Linked DNA regions of Lepisosteus oculatus. The protein of the gene in region 1 purifies or fractionates together with the protein of each later gene. This does not show direct contact. Links are inferred from orthologs where the notes say so. Each region holds a gene or a part of one and is shown in the gene's direction. Other genes may lie near its edges.

The links. The genes of interacting proteins can lie anywhere in the genome.
Region 2: the proteins of dcaf11 (region 1) and cops6 purify together in Homo sapiens (affinity purification with mass spectrometry; 6 studies listed by BioGRID and IntAct, counting the BioPlex papers as one, with this or other methods). This does not show direct contact. The link is inferred for Lepisosteus oculatus from reciprocal best matches to the Homo sapiens genes DCAF11 and COPS6.

The regions. Positions count from the first base shown.
Region 1 is NC_090699.1:14,359,370-14,366,603, forward strand, and holds the start of dcaf11 (DDB1- and CUL4-associated factor 11), read left to right. Parts: upstream 1-4,218; 5' UTR 4,219-4,454; intron 4,455-6,360; 5' UTR 6,361-6,369; coding exon 6,370-6,581; intron 6,582-7,234. UniProt on the Homo sapiens protein: May function as a substrate receptor for CUL4-DDB1 E3 ubiquitin-protein ligase complex.
Region 2 is NC_090698.1:12,443,043-12,451,011, reverse strand, and holds the start of cops6 (COP9 signalosome complex subunit 6), read left to right. Parts: upstream 1-4,966; 5' UTR 4,967-5,021; coding exon 5,022-5,064; intron 5,065-6,385; coding exon 6,386-6,511; intron 6,512-6,903; coding exon 6,904-7,035; intron 7,036-7,209; coding exon 7,210-7,298; intron 7,299-7,783; coding exon 7,784-7,846; intron 7,847-7,969. Other genes in the region: F-box/LRR-repeat protein 12, read right to left, coding at 137-946, 1,387-1,462, 3,044-3,144. UniProt on the Homo sapiens protein: Component of the COP9 signalosome complex (CSN), a complex involved in various cellular and developmental processes.

The DNA.
Region 1 (7,234 bases):
ATTTAGGATTAAGGATTATGAAGAGTAAGGATTATTGTTAAACTTCTTTACTTACACCTGTTGATCGGTTGAGAGCCGGCTGGCCTCTGGAAACCAAGCTGAAGGTCCCGTTGCTCGTCCTGCCCTGCGGACAGAGGAAAGCTCTTCCCGAAGCCCGTTGCCCGGGAGCCTGCAGAGGGCTGTGGGATCGAGGTGGGCGCTCAGTGGTGGCGCCCTGCTGGGCTCCCAGCTGCCACAGGGGTCTGAAAGGCCCTCCAGGGCCTCGACAGCTGAGGGCCACAGCGTTCTAAGGCCGAGTTGGTCAATGGTGGCCGAGTGATGTGAACCAGCAGACGTTCGATCTGATGTGATCTGATGTGATCTAAAATACTTTTGGATGAAAGTGCTACAGAATGGTGAGAGAAGTCTTTTGCGGGCTCCGAAGGAGTTCGGGTGTCTCAGACCACACCAGCGCTGTATGCGATTACTCCACAAGAAACTTGAGTTCATCGTCCAACGCAGTGGACTACACCACCAGACCCCCCACCATGGATCGCTGTGGGAATGATGTTTTTCAAATCAACAGTCATTTCTTTTGTTTCTGACACCTTTATAAAATAAGATACGATCACTTTATTGGCCCTATACAATCGCTTGCATTAGGAATTTGTCTTTTCCCAGACCCCAGCTTGTTCTCCATGAGACACACAGACAGGGGAAGAAGCTGGGGGTCAGAGCGCAGGGTCAGCCATTTGTACAGCACCCTTAGAGGGGCTGGGGTGAAGGGCCTGGCAGTAGGATTCCTCTGCCAGCCGTGGGATTCGAACCGGCAGCCTTCCAGTCACAGGCGCAGATCCTGAGCCACAGAGCCACCACACCACCCTTCATCTCCTGGTAAGAAGTATCAGACCAGTTGCCGAATTCATCCGGACTGGGTCTGTGTGCTCATCCAGGCTCTGAGAGGAGGGACACTAGTACACTCTCACCAGCAGGCCTGGTGATGTAATGATTTTCAGAGTTGCTTCGATGGCTACCGCCATCGCTATATAAGAGGAAGAGAAGGGGGAAATAGCACCGCCTGGTGGTGATCCAGCAGAACTACAAATGGAGTCAGAGGCCAAACCATTAACAGATACATTTTGTGTTTTATTGGCCAGAAAACTAACGATGCACATGATCAGCTGATGATCCCATCTGAAACCTGTGATTAGGTTTTCAACCAAAATGTGTGGCTGCATTGTGTGAAAGGCTGATGAGGACACAGCAAACACAAGTCTGGCAGCTGATTTATTCTAAGTGCTTATACAGAATCAATCAAAGGTTCAATCAATCAGTCGGAGTTTATTTATCAAACGCACAACAATACCACGTGCAGCAGTAGTTGCTGGCAGTGAAATGTCTGTTCTACAAGCTCACGGGGGGGGAATCACAAAATTAAAGTTGCAAAATAAGGTGAAATAATGATCGATAACAGTGCACTAGAAATTGAATGAGATAAAGTCAGACAGAGCTCAGTATAGATATCAATGGAGCTGCTCTGTGTCCAGGGTGTGTGCAGTACAGTGTGTCCCAGTAGTGCAGTTATGCTGAATACGGTGAAACTGTGTGTCCCTGTAGCCAGTACAGGTGATTTGCTGAAGGAGCTGCAGCTTGGCTGTTTAGCGGTCTTATTGCCTGGAGGTAGAAGCTGTTCCCTGATCTGTCGGACTTTGACCGAATGCGTAAGAGAAAACAGTTTGTGACTGGGATGACTGGGGTCCTCGAGAATGGACCTGGACTTCTAAAAGAAAAATCTTAGCATCATGGGCTCCCCTTCCAGGACAGCAGGCCAACTGGAGGGGGCCGGGACCTGACTGTACTGCGGCCATGGTATGGGACTGGCCTGCTTCTTCAAGAGTCCTGCTCGCTCATGGAGCCAGAGCTGTTGGCCTCAAGTCAAGTCTAGTCCTCTTAGGAACGGGTACGGGTGTCTAGAGCTTCCGAACAGCCCACTGCCCACCAGACAGCACCAGTGTCTACAGCAGGGGCCCCCAGTCCTGGATTAATAATAATAATAATAATAATAATAATAATAAAATAATTCCTTACACTTATATGGGACAATGTGCAGCTGGATGATGAGACAGCAGCTAGACCAGTGTCTACAGCAGGGGCTCCCAGTCAATTATTATTATTATCATCAACAATAATAATAATCTGTTATTGCTGTAGACTAGTGTCTACAGCAGGGCTCCAAGTCCTGGTAAAAGAACAACAATAATAATAATAATAATAATAATAATAATAATAATAATGTCTCCTGCAGGGGCTCCATCACACCTGAGCTGGACTGGTGTCCTGTCCAGGGTGTGTGTGTGTGTGTGTGTGTGTCCTGTGATGGACTGGTGTCCTGTCCAGGGTGCGTGAGAGTGTGTGTCTGTGTGTGTCCTGTGATGGACTGATGTCCTGTCCAGGGTGCGTGAGAGTGTGTGTCTGTGTGTGTCCTGGGATGGACTGGCGTCCTGTCCAGTGTGTGTGAGAGTGTGTGTGTGTGTGTGTGTCCTGTGATGGACTGGTGTCCTGTCCAGGGTGTGTGAGTGTGTGTCTGTGTGTGTCCTGTGATGGACTGGTGTCCTGTCCAGGGTGTGTGAGAGTGTGTGTGTGTCCTGTGATGGACTGGTGTCCTGTCCAGGATGCGTGAGAGTGTGTCTGTGTGTGTCCTGTGATGGACTGGTATCCTGTCCAGGGTGTGTGAGAGTGTGTGTCTGTGTGTTTCCTGTGATGGACTGGTGTCCTGTCCAGGGTGCGTGAGAGTGTGTGTCTGTGTGTGTCCTGGGATGGACTGGCGTCCTGTCCAGTGTGTGTGTGAGAGTGTGTGTGTGTGTGTGTGTCCTGTGATGGACTGGTGTCCTGTCCAGGGTGTGTGAGAGTGTTTGTCTGTGTGTGTCCTGCAATGGACCCATGTCCTGTCCAGGGTGTGTGAGAGTGTTTGTCTGTGTGTGTCCTGCGATGGACCCATGTCCTGTCCAGGGTGTGTGAGAGTGTGTGTGTGTCTGTGTGTGTCCTGTGGTGGACTGGTGTCCTGTCCAGGGTGTGTGAGAGTGTGTGTCTGTGTGTGTCCTGTGATGGACTGGCGTCCTGTCCAGGGTGTGTGACAGTGTGTGTGTGTGTCCTGTGATGGACTGGCGTCCTGTCCAGGGTGTGTGAGTGTGTGTCTTTGTGTGTCCTGTGATGGACTGGCGTCCTGTCCAGGGTGTGTGACAGTGTGTGTGTGTGTGTGTGTGTGTGTGTGTGTGTCCTGTGATGGACTGGTGTCCTGTCCAGGGTGTGTGAGAGTGTGTGTCTGTGTGTGTCCTGTGGTGGACTGGTGTCCTGTCCAGGGTGTGTGAGTGTGTGTCTGTGTGTGTCGTGTGATGGACTGGTGTCCTGCCCAGGGTGTGTGAGAGTGTGTGTCTGTGTGTGTGTCCTGTGATGGACTGGTGTCCTGTCCAGGGTGTGTGAGAGAGTGTGTCTGTGTGTGTCCTGTGATGGACTGGCGTCCTGTCCAGGGTGTGTGAGAGTGTGTGTCTGTGTGTGTCCTGTGATGGACTGGTGTTCTTCCTTGTGGCCCTTGCCTGCTGCAGCTCTCCCACACGACCCTGTACCTGATAAAGTTGGATGGAACACAAGACAGGTCTCAAACGAGACGAGGCCACTCGGTTCATCCAACCTGTTTGGTAATTAGTTTTGTAATTAGTGGCTCATTAACCCCAAGATCTCATCCAGCTGTTTCTTGAGAGCAGCCAGGGTATCGGCTTCAGGAACATGGCTGGGCAGCTTGTTACACACTCCCACCACTCTTTGTGTAAAGAAGGGAAAACTCATAGGCTTCTCTATTTGTCAGTGTACGAAACTGTCAAACCCCAGAATGTATCAGGTTGCAATATCTATTGCACATTGTCTGATGAATTTAAATTAATTGCACTTATGTATCACATTTCAGTTAACTCTTGAATTTGTTACCAGAAAAGAGGAAAAATAAATTAACTGGACCGTATCCTTCCACTTACTGCGAGGTGACGTCAGGATCAGCCAATCACCGTGTGGGATGCGGTGACAGACGGATTGATGTCACTTCAGAGAGTGACAGTTCTGGAGCTCCGCTTCCACCCGTCGGACGGCCATTTTGGCTCCAGTTTCCAACTGCGCGCTGGCAATCCATGTCAACGAGGAAGCAAAATGGAGCCCTTCGGTGGCTGGGTGTCCTTGGCGATGGGCCGGTCATGTGACCGCGGCGGGGGCAAAGCTCGTCGATGTAAACAACATGGCGACTCGGAGAGAAAAGACCGGGGCCTACCTGGGGATTATTCCTTAACGTAAACTCAAGCAGTGACAATAAAAAAAAACCCAAGCAGTATCGATTCGCTAGTATTGATAAGCCTATTGATTGTTAAAGGAAGAACGTGCAAGACAACAACGCGATCCGCGAACGAAGCCCTAAATACAAATTTCACCAGGTACTGTATTTTCTATTTATCTGTTGAGTTTCTTGTTAAGTGTTCATTGAGCCTTTTTATGATTGTCATTTTCGGAAGGGGATTAATTCACTGAAATAGACGCGAGTCTTCCCGTGTCGTCGGTGTAACATAACGATACATTTAATTTGATTAGATAATTAGCTTGGTTAATTAGTCGAGGAGTATAAGGAAAGCATTTTGACACTGAACAACTGCCGTTTCGATTTTGGCGAGTGAGGAAACTAGACGAATTACTGATTAACCCCTCTCTCCCAGTGCAGTGTTAATGTACTGGAGTGTCCAGTCAGTCAGTGTGTCTGTATGAACCCCTCTCTCTCAGTGCAGTGTTAATGTACTGGAGTGTCCAGTCAGTGTGTCTGTATGAACCCCTCTCTCTCAGTGCAGTGTTAATGTACTGGAGTGTCCAGTCAGTCAGTGTGTCTGTATGAACCCCTCTCTCTCAGTGCAGTGTTAATGTACTGGAGTGTCCAGTCAGTCAATGTGTCTGTATGAACCCCTCTCTCTCAGTGCAGTGTTAATGTACTGGAGTGTCCAGTCAGTGTGTCTGTATGAACCCCTCTCTCTCAGTGCAGTGTTAATGTACTGGAGTGTCCAGTCAGTCAGTGTGTCTGTATGAACCCCTCTCTCTCAGTGCAGTGTTAATGTACTGGAGTGTCCAGTCAGTGTGTCTGTATGAACCCCTCTCTCTCAGTGCAGTGTTAATGTACTGGAGTGTCCAGTCAGTCAGTGTGTCTGTATGAACCCCTCTCTCTCAGTGCAGTGTTAATGTACTGGAGTGTCCAGTCAGTGTGTCTGTATGAACCCCTCTCTCTCAGTGCAGTGTTAATGTACTGGAGTGTCCAGTCAGTCAGTGTGTCTGTATGAACCCCTCTCTCTCAGTGCAGTGTTAATGTACTGGAGTGTCCAGTCAGTGTGTCTGTATGAACCCCTCTCTCTCAGTGCAGTGTTAATGTACTGGAGTGTCCAGTCAGTCAGTGTGTCTGCATGAACCCCTCTCTCTCAGTGCAGTGTTAATGTACTGGAGTGTCCAGTCAGTCAATGTGTCTGTATGAACCCCTCTCTCTCAGTGCAGTGTTAATGTACTGGAGTGTCCAGTCAGTCAGTGTGTCTGTATTAACCCCTCTCTCTCAGTGCAGTGTTAATGTACTGGAGTGTCCAGTCAGTCAGTGTGTCTGTATGAACCCCTCTCTCTCAGTGCAGTGTTAATGTACTGGAGTGTCCAGTCAGTCAGTGTGTCTGTATGAACCCCTCTCTCTCAGTGCAGTGTTAATGTACTGGAGTGTCCAGTCAGTGTGTCTGTATGAACCCCTCTCTCTCAGTGCAGTGTTAATGTACTGGAGTGTCCAGTCAGTGTGTCTGTATGAACCCCTCTCTCTCAGTGCAGTGTTAATGTACTGGAGTGTCCAGTCAGTGTGTCTGTATTAACCCCTCTCTCTCAATGCAGTGTTAATGTACTGGAGTGTCCAGTCAGTGTGTCTGTATTAACCCCTCTCTCTCGGTGCAGTGTTAATGTACTGGAGTGTCCAGTCAGTGTGTCTGTATGAACCCCTCTCTCTCAGTGCAGTGTTAATGTACTGGAGTGTCCAGTTAGTGTGTCTGTATGAACCCCTCTCTCTCAGTACAGTGTTAATGTACTGGAGTGTCCAGTCAGTCAGTGTGTCTGTATGAACCCCTCTCTCTCAGTGCAGTGTTAATGTACTGGAGTGTCCAGTCAGTCAGTGTGTCTGTATGAACCCCTCTCTCTCAGTGCAGTGTTAATGTACTGGAGTGTCCAGTCAGTCAGTGTGTCTGTATGAACCCCTCTCTCTCAGTGCAGTGTTAATGTACTGGAGTGTCCAGTCAGTCAGTGTGTCTGTGTTAATTCCTGTCTTTACCTTTCTCAAAGTGTCGGTCTATGGGCTCTCAGTCCAGTTCTGGGATGTCCGGTCGGGCCTCCAGTGGTGACCCAGACGAGACAGAGCCAGAACGCAGCCAGAACCGGGGCCAGCAAAGCCGCAGACAGGCGAGGAGACAGTTGGACAGAGGGGCAGAGGAGCAGAGCGACAGAGGGTCCGCAGCAGAGGAGGACGTCGACTTAGCGCAAGTGCTGGCGTACCTACTGAGGAGGTAAGAGTGCAGCACTGTGTCTCTCACGGGCTTCCTGCAGGGACACTGAGTCTAGGAGAACAAACTGACACACTGTCCAGACATCCTGACACACTGTCCAGACACTGAGTCTAAGAGAACACACTGACACACTGTACAGACACACTGACACACTGTCCAGACACTGAGTCTAGGAGAACACACTGACACACTGTGTAGACACTCTGACACACTGTCCAGACACTGAGTCTAAGAGAACACACTGACACACTGTACTGACACACTGACACACTGTCCAGAAACTGAGTCTAGGAGAACACACTGACACACTGTCCAGAAACACTGACACACTGACTCACTGTACAGACACACTGACACACTGTACACAGAGTCTAGGAGAACACACTGACACACTGTACAGACACAGAGTCTAGGAGAACACACTGACACACTGTCCAGACACACTGTACACTGAGTCTAGGAAAACACACTGACACACTGTGCAGACACACTGTCCAGACATGCTGACACACTGTACTGACACTGTCAAGGAGAACACACTGACATACTGTGTGGACACACTGTCCAGACACTCTGACACACTGTACTGACACTGAGTCTAGGAGAACACACTGACACACTGTGTGGACACACTGTCCAGACACTCTGACACA
Region 2 (7,969 bases), on another chromosome or scaffold:
TTCCACCAAATATGAATTAATAAATTGCCTGGAAAAAACAAACCCTTTACAAAACAAAGGGAGAGATCTCCAAGAGGCAAATGTCTGACCATTGCTGGCTGACCGAGGGCACTGCCTTTGTCCTGCTTTGTGAGGCCTAACTTTGCACAGCCCTTGCAGTGCAGCGGACGCAAGTCACAGCGCAATGGAGCAAGCCCTGCTGGATGGAGTCCTGGTCGGCGGCGCTGGAGAACGAGACATCGCTGAGCACCACGCTGCGGAGGGAGGGCGCTTCCTGGCAGGCAGGCAGGAGGTCAGCGGGGGACAGGGAGGAGTGCTGGAGCCGCAGGGAACGCAGCCGGGCCAGGCGCGGGAGACAAGGCAGCCCGTTCAGCACTTCAGCCCCACCCAGGGTTAGCTCCACCAGGCCTGGCAGTCCCTCTGCGATGCCCGCCGCCGCCCTCTCGTTCTGCGTGGAGCATCTGCCTTTCCTCCCGAGTTCTAGGCTCTCCAGCTGTGTCAGGTGTCCGCTGGCACAACCACGGATGCCAGCTTCTGTCACCCTGAAGGCATCCCTCAGCTCAAGCCTCCTCAGGGTCTCCCAGTTTCCCAGCGCTTTCAGGTGCTGGTCTGAGAAAGAGGACACGTTTTCCACAACTAAGGTCTCTATCCTGATCCCACTGCTGACACCACTGCTGTGGAAGAATGCCCCCGGCACCTCACAGGTAATGAGCTCTAGCGTCTTCAGAGAGGCAGGCAGGCGCTGGTAGTTGCCCACCTCCTTCAGGTCAGCGTGCAGCAGGATGAGACAGTGCAGCTTGGGACACTGTCTGGCAAGCGCCTGCAGCCAGGGCTGAGAGAGGAGAGCGCGGTTTCTGACGGAAAACAGAAGGCCCCTCAGACAGAGCACTCGCAGTCCGGCGCCCAGGTACCGCCTCACCAGCAACCACAGCAACCTCGAGTTCACCTGTCAGAATGGAAGAAGAAAATCAGGCTGTGCTGTCGGGTGTACTGTCCTGAATTTGGGGCTTCCATTATCAACACAAGAAAAGACCCTCAGTCACTTCCCTCTTTCAGGAGCCTGCTCTGCAGGGCCCGGGCCTGCTGGGACCCGGCATAGGACAACAAAGCGTGTTGGGCTTGGTTATGGCTCAGCTTGACAAAACGAACAGGGCTAGCTGCATCGCGATGGCTCAGCTCGGGCAGGCCAGTGTGAAGAGGGCTAGAACAGATCACAGTCTCCCAGCGGTGACCCCGCACAGTGTGAAGCGCTCCAGTCAGTTATGGGTACGAAGATGCGACAGGTTGCAGATGAAGAGTTCCGGGTAATTCGACTCTCACTGCACTCTGTCGCAGAGCAGCTCCACTGGCAAGTCACAGGAACAGTTGGGCAAGACGGCAACTCACCACGCCGCACTTGGTTAAATCCACACGTCTCCACAGCCTGTGGTCACGGATAAGCCTCTTCCACCTCTTGCACACCCTGCAGTGGGAGAAAAGGTTTATGGAACAAGTCTTGTTATGAGCCCAAAGGTCAAACAGCTACCCAGCGGGCAGAAGATCTCAAATCGGTACTTGCAGAGGAGGTTCCACAGCTTGTTCTGGAGTATATATGAACATAGGGATCCCTCACCAACCCTGAAAAGTCAACACCGGACAAATCAATAAGCTCTTATGGGAAATAACAGCAGTTTCCTGTGACTTTGCCCCTGTAAACGCACTGTTTTAACTGCAACCTACATGCAACAAAATAAAAGTACTGTATAGATACCACACACACCACTAACATAAATTAACCCCAAAACAGAGCCGCTTGGCTCTGTGTCTGTTCAGGTGGCAGGGACTGAAGAGACTCCCGTCTTGGAGAATGTTAGAACCGTCTCAAACTCATCCTGTAACTGCAGAGCCCAGTGTCTTCAGGTTTTCCCCTCAGTCTGAGTCTCATTATTTTCTTATGCAGTTACAGGATATTTCTAAAGCTCTTTCGCAGGCCATTTCTCAAACCTCTGTGACAAGCGGTAAAATTCTGCAGCTAATAAAATAATTAGGCCCACTGTGTAGCCCAGAAGTGGGGAGGCAATGAGCCCAACAGGAACTGAGTCTGACACCTGGTCTAGGGGAACTGGTGCCTCAAACACAGAAAGAAAAGGACACTTGTTTACCTGTTCAGATATGAAGTATCACTTCAAGTCTGGTGTAGCTATGAGCCCAGCTGAGGGTCTCAGCTGACATCACAATCATTTCAAAACCTCCGTTTTGTCTTGACAGATCAGTGGACACTTGATCTACCTTCAAGTGATCAATTTGATCTCCTGACTCTCTCAATACAGTTACTTACATTGTTCGGATCTACTCCAGCCTACTTCTGAAGTAGCTAGAGGTGCTTTTTCATGCAGAAAATAACTAATGTATATATTTTATACATTCTAGAATATAAACATTGTATAATATATACATGACCCATACATCACGGACAAAGAGAAGAATACACGTTACGTATTATAACACCCCATATAAGCCAATGATTACATCATGTTATGTAATGTATTCTTTTACTAGCGTTAGGAAATCTGTTTAAAGCAAACGGCCGATGCAAACACACAAAGACATTCAAATACAAACTTATACACAAATTCATTATACTCGCATATAATGATACTAATACAAACACGCGTCTACACTTGAAAACACAGACTATAGTTGGGAAATATCAATAAGAATGAATGTAAAGGTGTGAATTGACAGCCACGAACGCAGACATTGACTTCTCTGTCATTTGTCATGAGGAAATCGTAGTCTCATTAAAAGGCATGTTTTGGGGAACGCAACTACAGCGCTGAGGATTTACTGTAGTTGGGTTTTAATGGCGTCGTCATCCAGGACCACGAACTGCATTTCCGAACCAGTTGAGTATATCTTGATTATCACTGGGACCACAGTGAAGTCCTGCACTACACCAACTCCTAAAACAACAGGTGTGTCCGGGGCAAGAGTCACCCTGTAGTTAAAGCACCACTTTCAGTGACACATAAACATATGCCGGTAGTGACTTGAGAATCCTCACCTGGCTGCTCTCAGCAAGTCTCGCACGTTTAGGTACGATAAGATGTCTAATAAAATGTTTTCCGGGAAGTAATCCAAAGAACCGCTACCCTCAGCGGCCATTCTAGTCTGTAAACAAAAGGACCACCGCTGTTGACTTTACCGGGTAGGAACGTCAGGAACTAGTCCCGCCCCTATCTGTGGGCTGGCGCTGCGATTGGTCACAGTCCGACCTTGGGAGCTACCATTGGTTAATCAATGGTGTCACTTGATTGGTGATCAAGCTGAATGACGTAATTAGTGAGCGCTTGAAGTTGACGTTGACGTGTTTGACGTTTCAGGTTTCCCCTTAAAAATGTCGGTGTGGTCCAGTTCAAAATATGCATTACTCCGTAGCCACAAGCTGAGTAGATAAGACAATAAATAACACGCTTTCTCGCTCAATGCGACAGGAACACAAAATATCTGCCGGAGCATTGTTTTTTGTAAAATACATTATACCCCTTTTCCTGCTACGAAATGAGAATAAAACTCGCGGTTGAACTAGTTGGTCAAGTTCTTTGTTATATAAAACCCACTCACTACTAATCACAGAGCTCCTAGAAGCGGTGCATTGCTCCATGAATTAAAAAAAAGAAGTAAAGATCAAACTGCTGGTCGCAGCTAATCCATCCCAGAAACTCACCCCGTCTTTACTCGCAGGTTTGCTCCAGACATCGGCAACTCTTTGGCTAAAAACATGCACTCCGCGTCTCTAGTTTTGCTTGCTGGTTTGCTTAATTGGGTGTTATAATTTGTGTGGATCTTGTCTCAGCTGTGTGATTGTTTTATTGTACACCATTTTGAAATTTCACACCACGGAAGGCTATTAACGGTTATTGTATTAATACAATTTGATCTCCTGACTCTCTCAATACAGTTACTTACATTGTTCGGATCCAGCCTACTTCTGGAGTAGCTAGAGGTGCTTTTTCATGCAGAAAATAACTAATGTATATATTTTATACATTCTAGAATATAAACATTGTATAATATATACATGACCCATACATCACGGACAAAGAGAAGAATACACATTACGTATTATAACACCCAATATAAGCCAATGATTACATCATGTTATGTAATGTATTCTTTTACTATATTAATCCAAATGCAAGAACCAAAATCCCTCACAGTCTCAATTCTTTCAGTTCCTTCACTCCGTGTTTCAGCGCTTTCAGAGTTGAAGGTAGACTCACTCACTGAGCCTTTCCAAGAAAGGAATTTCAGCTTCAGGACTATGCTAATATGCAGCTATATCACCCTGCAGCTCACAACTAGCAACCCCCCTGAAGCTAAGCAGGTGTGAGCCTGGTCAGTACCTGGATGGGAGACCTCCTGGGAAAAACTAAGGCTGCTGCTGGAAGAGGTGTTAGTGGGGCCAGCAGGGGGCGCCCACCCTGCAGTCCATGTGGATCCTAATGCCCCATTATAGCGACAGGTACACTATACTGTAAAAAAGACCTTTGTATGAGATGTAAAAGTTAGGTCCTGACTCTCTGTGGTCATTAAAAATACCAGGGTGTTTCTCAAAAAGAGCAGGAGTGTAACTCCTGGCGAAATTTCTCATTGCCGTTTTTACCAATCTTGGCTATCCTAATAATCCCCATCTATGAATTGGCTTCATCATTCTGCTCTCCTCCCTACAGATAGCTGGTGTGTGGTGAGTGTTCTGGTTCACTCTGGCTGCCGTCGCATCATCCAGGTGGGGCTGCACATTGGTGGTGGTGGAGGGGAGACCCCATTACCTGTAAAGCACTTTGAGTGGAGTGTCCAGAAAAGCGCTATAACAGTATAAGCAATTATTATTATTACAATTATTATTATTATTAATTATTATTAGGGGGAGCAGGCCCCTCTACTGGCGACAGGGTAATAGTGCACAAGTACGTCCCTCCTCGTGGCCTACTGCACATGCGCGTCCCGGGTGCGCCAGTGTGAGCTGCGCGGAGATCAAGATGGCGGCGAGCAACGGCGGGGGAATGGAAGTAGATGCGGCAGGTAATACATTCTCTGCTTTCAAGTACATTTCATTTTAACTTAAAAAATGGTAACATTCGTGGACAGCTGGTGTCTCAAAACATTCTCATTTCGGGGACTAATAATAACGAAGCGCGAGATAAAAATGATTTTGTCTTGGTATAAACCGGGTATAGCGATGTTTTTAACAGCTGCCCTTCACATACATACTGATTGGTCAAGGAGCTGTGTATTCTTCTGTTTGATTGGACGACTGTGAGTACGTACCGCCCTTTTTCTGAAAGAAGTGTATTGATTGGCTTAATTTGGTGTCACTCTTGTTTTTGACGATTCCAAACACTTCACTAATCTGTTGTGTCTGTGTACAGTAGTTTAAGAAATTTGGAAATTAATAAGTATTTGTCATCAATCTGTTAATTTTATGGAGTTATAAAGCTTACGAAGATACATTTAGTGATTCTTGTATAATTTATTTGAGAATCGCCCCTGATCTGTTTTTTTTTTATTGAAAGAACCGGCAAACTGACTCGTGTTTTATTAAGAAAATACGTGATGCAAATAAGAAGGCATTCGATAGATAATTGATCTAGCGGGATTTTGAATGAAGCCAGGGTGTCAGCTTCAGCAAGGTGGCTGAGTAGCTTGTTTTTAAACCACTTTGTGTGCGGAACTGTCACTTGGTTTCTCTGTATTGTGTTTGAAATGTTAGATCCCAGGTGATCACACACAGCCTATCCTATACCATTGTTAATATACTGTAGTGTCCAGCGTGTCTGTATTAACCCCTCTCGCTCCCAGTGCAGTGTTAATGTACTCAGCCATATCACCCTGCAACTCACAACTGGCAGCCCACTGAAGCTAAGCAGGTGTGAGCCTAGTCACCCTCACCCTGCAGTCCATGTGGGTCCTAATGCCCCAGTATAGTGACGGGGACACTAGACTGTAAACCTGGATGAGATGTAAAACCTGTGGTCATTAAAAATCCTAGGGTGTTTCTCGAAAAGAGTAGGGGTGTAACCCCGGCATCCTGGCCAAATTTCCCATTGGCCCTTACCAATCATGGCCTCCTAATAATCCCCCTCTATGAATTGGCTTCATTACTCTGCTCTCCTCCCCACTGATAGCTGATGTGTGGTGAGAGTACTGGCACACTATGGCTGCCGTCGCATCATCCAGGTGGATGCTGCACATTGGAAGTGGTGGAGGGGAGTCCCCATTACCTGTAAAGCACTTTGAGTGGAGTGTCCAGAAAAGCGCTATATAACTGTAAGCAATTATTAATTATTATTATTATTACTGTAGTGTCCAGTGTGTCAGTACTAATCCTTTCTCCTTCTCTCAGTCAGTCCCAGTGTCATGGCATCTGGGGTGACGGGCAGCGTTTCAGTGGCTCTTCACCCCCTTGTCATCCTCAACATCTCTGACCACTGGATCCGCATGCGATCACAGGAGGGACGGGCCGTGCAAGGTCAGAGTGTCTCGGAGGGGCTTTCCAGCTTCTCCATTGCTTGTCTTGTAACAAATGACAGTGTGGAAAGTCATCTGCAAAAGCCAACTGTTTCTGTAACTTTGGTTCTTTGTGCAGATTAAATCCAACTACTGTCTGTAAATGTATGAACAAGGATATTCTTGGTTAAAGGTGGATTGTGTGCCTGGGATTTTAGTGATGCAGTGGATGTGATCTGTATCAGTGTCTGTGGAGTCTGTGTCAGTGTGTGCTGACTGTGTGTGTGGACACTGTCAGTGTGGAGTCTGTGTCAGTGTGTGTGGACACTGTCAGTGCCTGCTGACTGTGTGTGGAGTCTGTGTCAGTGTGTGCTCACAATGTGTGTGCTGATTCGGTGCGTTGTTCCCACACAGTGATCGGAGCCCTGATTGGGAAGCAGGAAGGCCGGAACATCGAGGTGATGAACTCGTTTGAGCTGCTTTTCCACACAGTGGATGACCGAGCCGTCATTGACAAGGAATACTACTACACCAAGGAGGAGCAGTGTGAGTGGGGCGTGGGTCAGTGGGAGAGCGTGGGTGTCGGACAGTGGGCCTGATGGGCATGTTTTTAATTTTGAATCTGTTGCATTGCTTTGAAACAAATAATCTTCAATTTTCTTCCCTCTCTCCTCCTGATGTTCCCTCTTATTCCTCTCTCTCTCCGGCTCCATCTCTCAGTTAAGCAGGTGTTCAAGGACATGGAGTTCTTGGGCTGGTACACAACAGGCGGGCCTCCTGACCAATCAGATATCCACATTCACAAGCAGGTGGGTGGGTGCTCAGGCGGCAGTCCAGTGGTCACTGGAGAATGATCACATCAGGACATTGCAGCTGCAGCTCATCCTGCATTGTCAAGTCTCCGATCATTCAGTTACGAAGCCGTCACCATCACACCATCAATAATTTGCTCACCTGCTGTTTCTCTCGGTGCTCTTCATTGTCTTTATTGGTTCTAGCAGTGTCCGCCCTGCTGTGTACATCTGATTATGTGCTGGATGTTCTCTTCACTTAGAAGTCAGGGTCATCTTGTAGCTGCTCAGACCGACTAGTGGCTCCTCCTAGGGCTGGTCTCCTGATCTGCACACGTTTCATGTGAGCCGGTTCTATGCCTGCAGCTCTTCTGTAATGAGTCCAAGCTTATGCAGGCTGGGACACGGGTACAGTACAGGGGAACCAGCTTTGCTGCAGCATGCCTAGTGGGTTCAGAGTGTCTTAACACTGTCTATCTCTGCCTCTCTCTCCCCCCGGGCAGGTTTGTGAGATCATCGAGAGCCCCCTGTTCCTCAAACTGAACCCCATGACCAAACACACTGATGTGAGTTTTGACTGCCTGGGATTGTGGGGGGTCAGGGTTGTTGGTGTTAATTCTCGGAGTATGCCGGCGTGACTGGTGTTACATTGCCAATAACATATCATACTGAAGTCTGCAGAGCTGGTG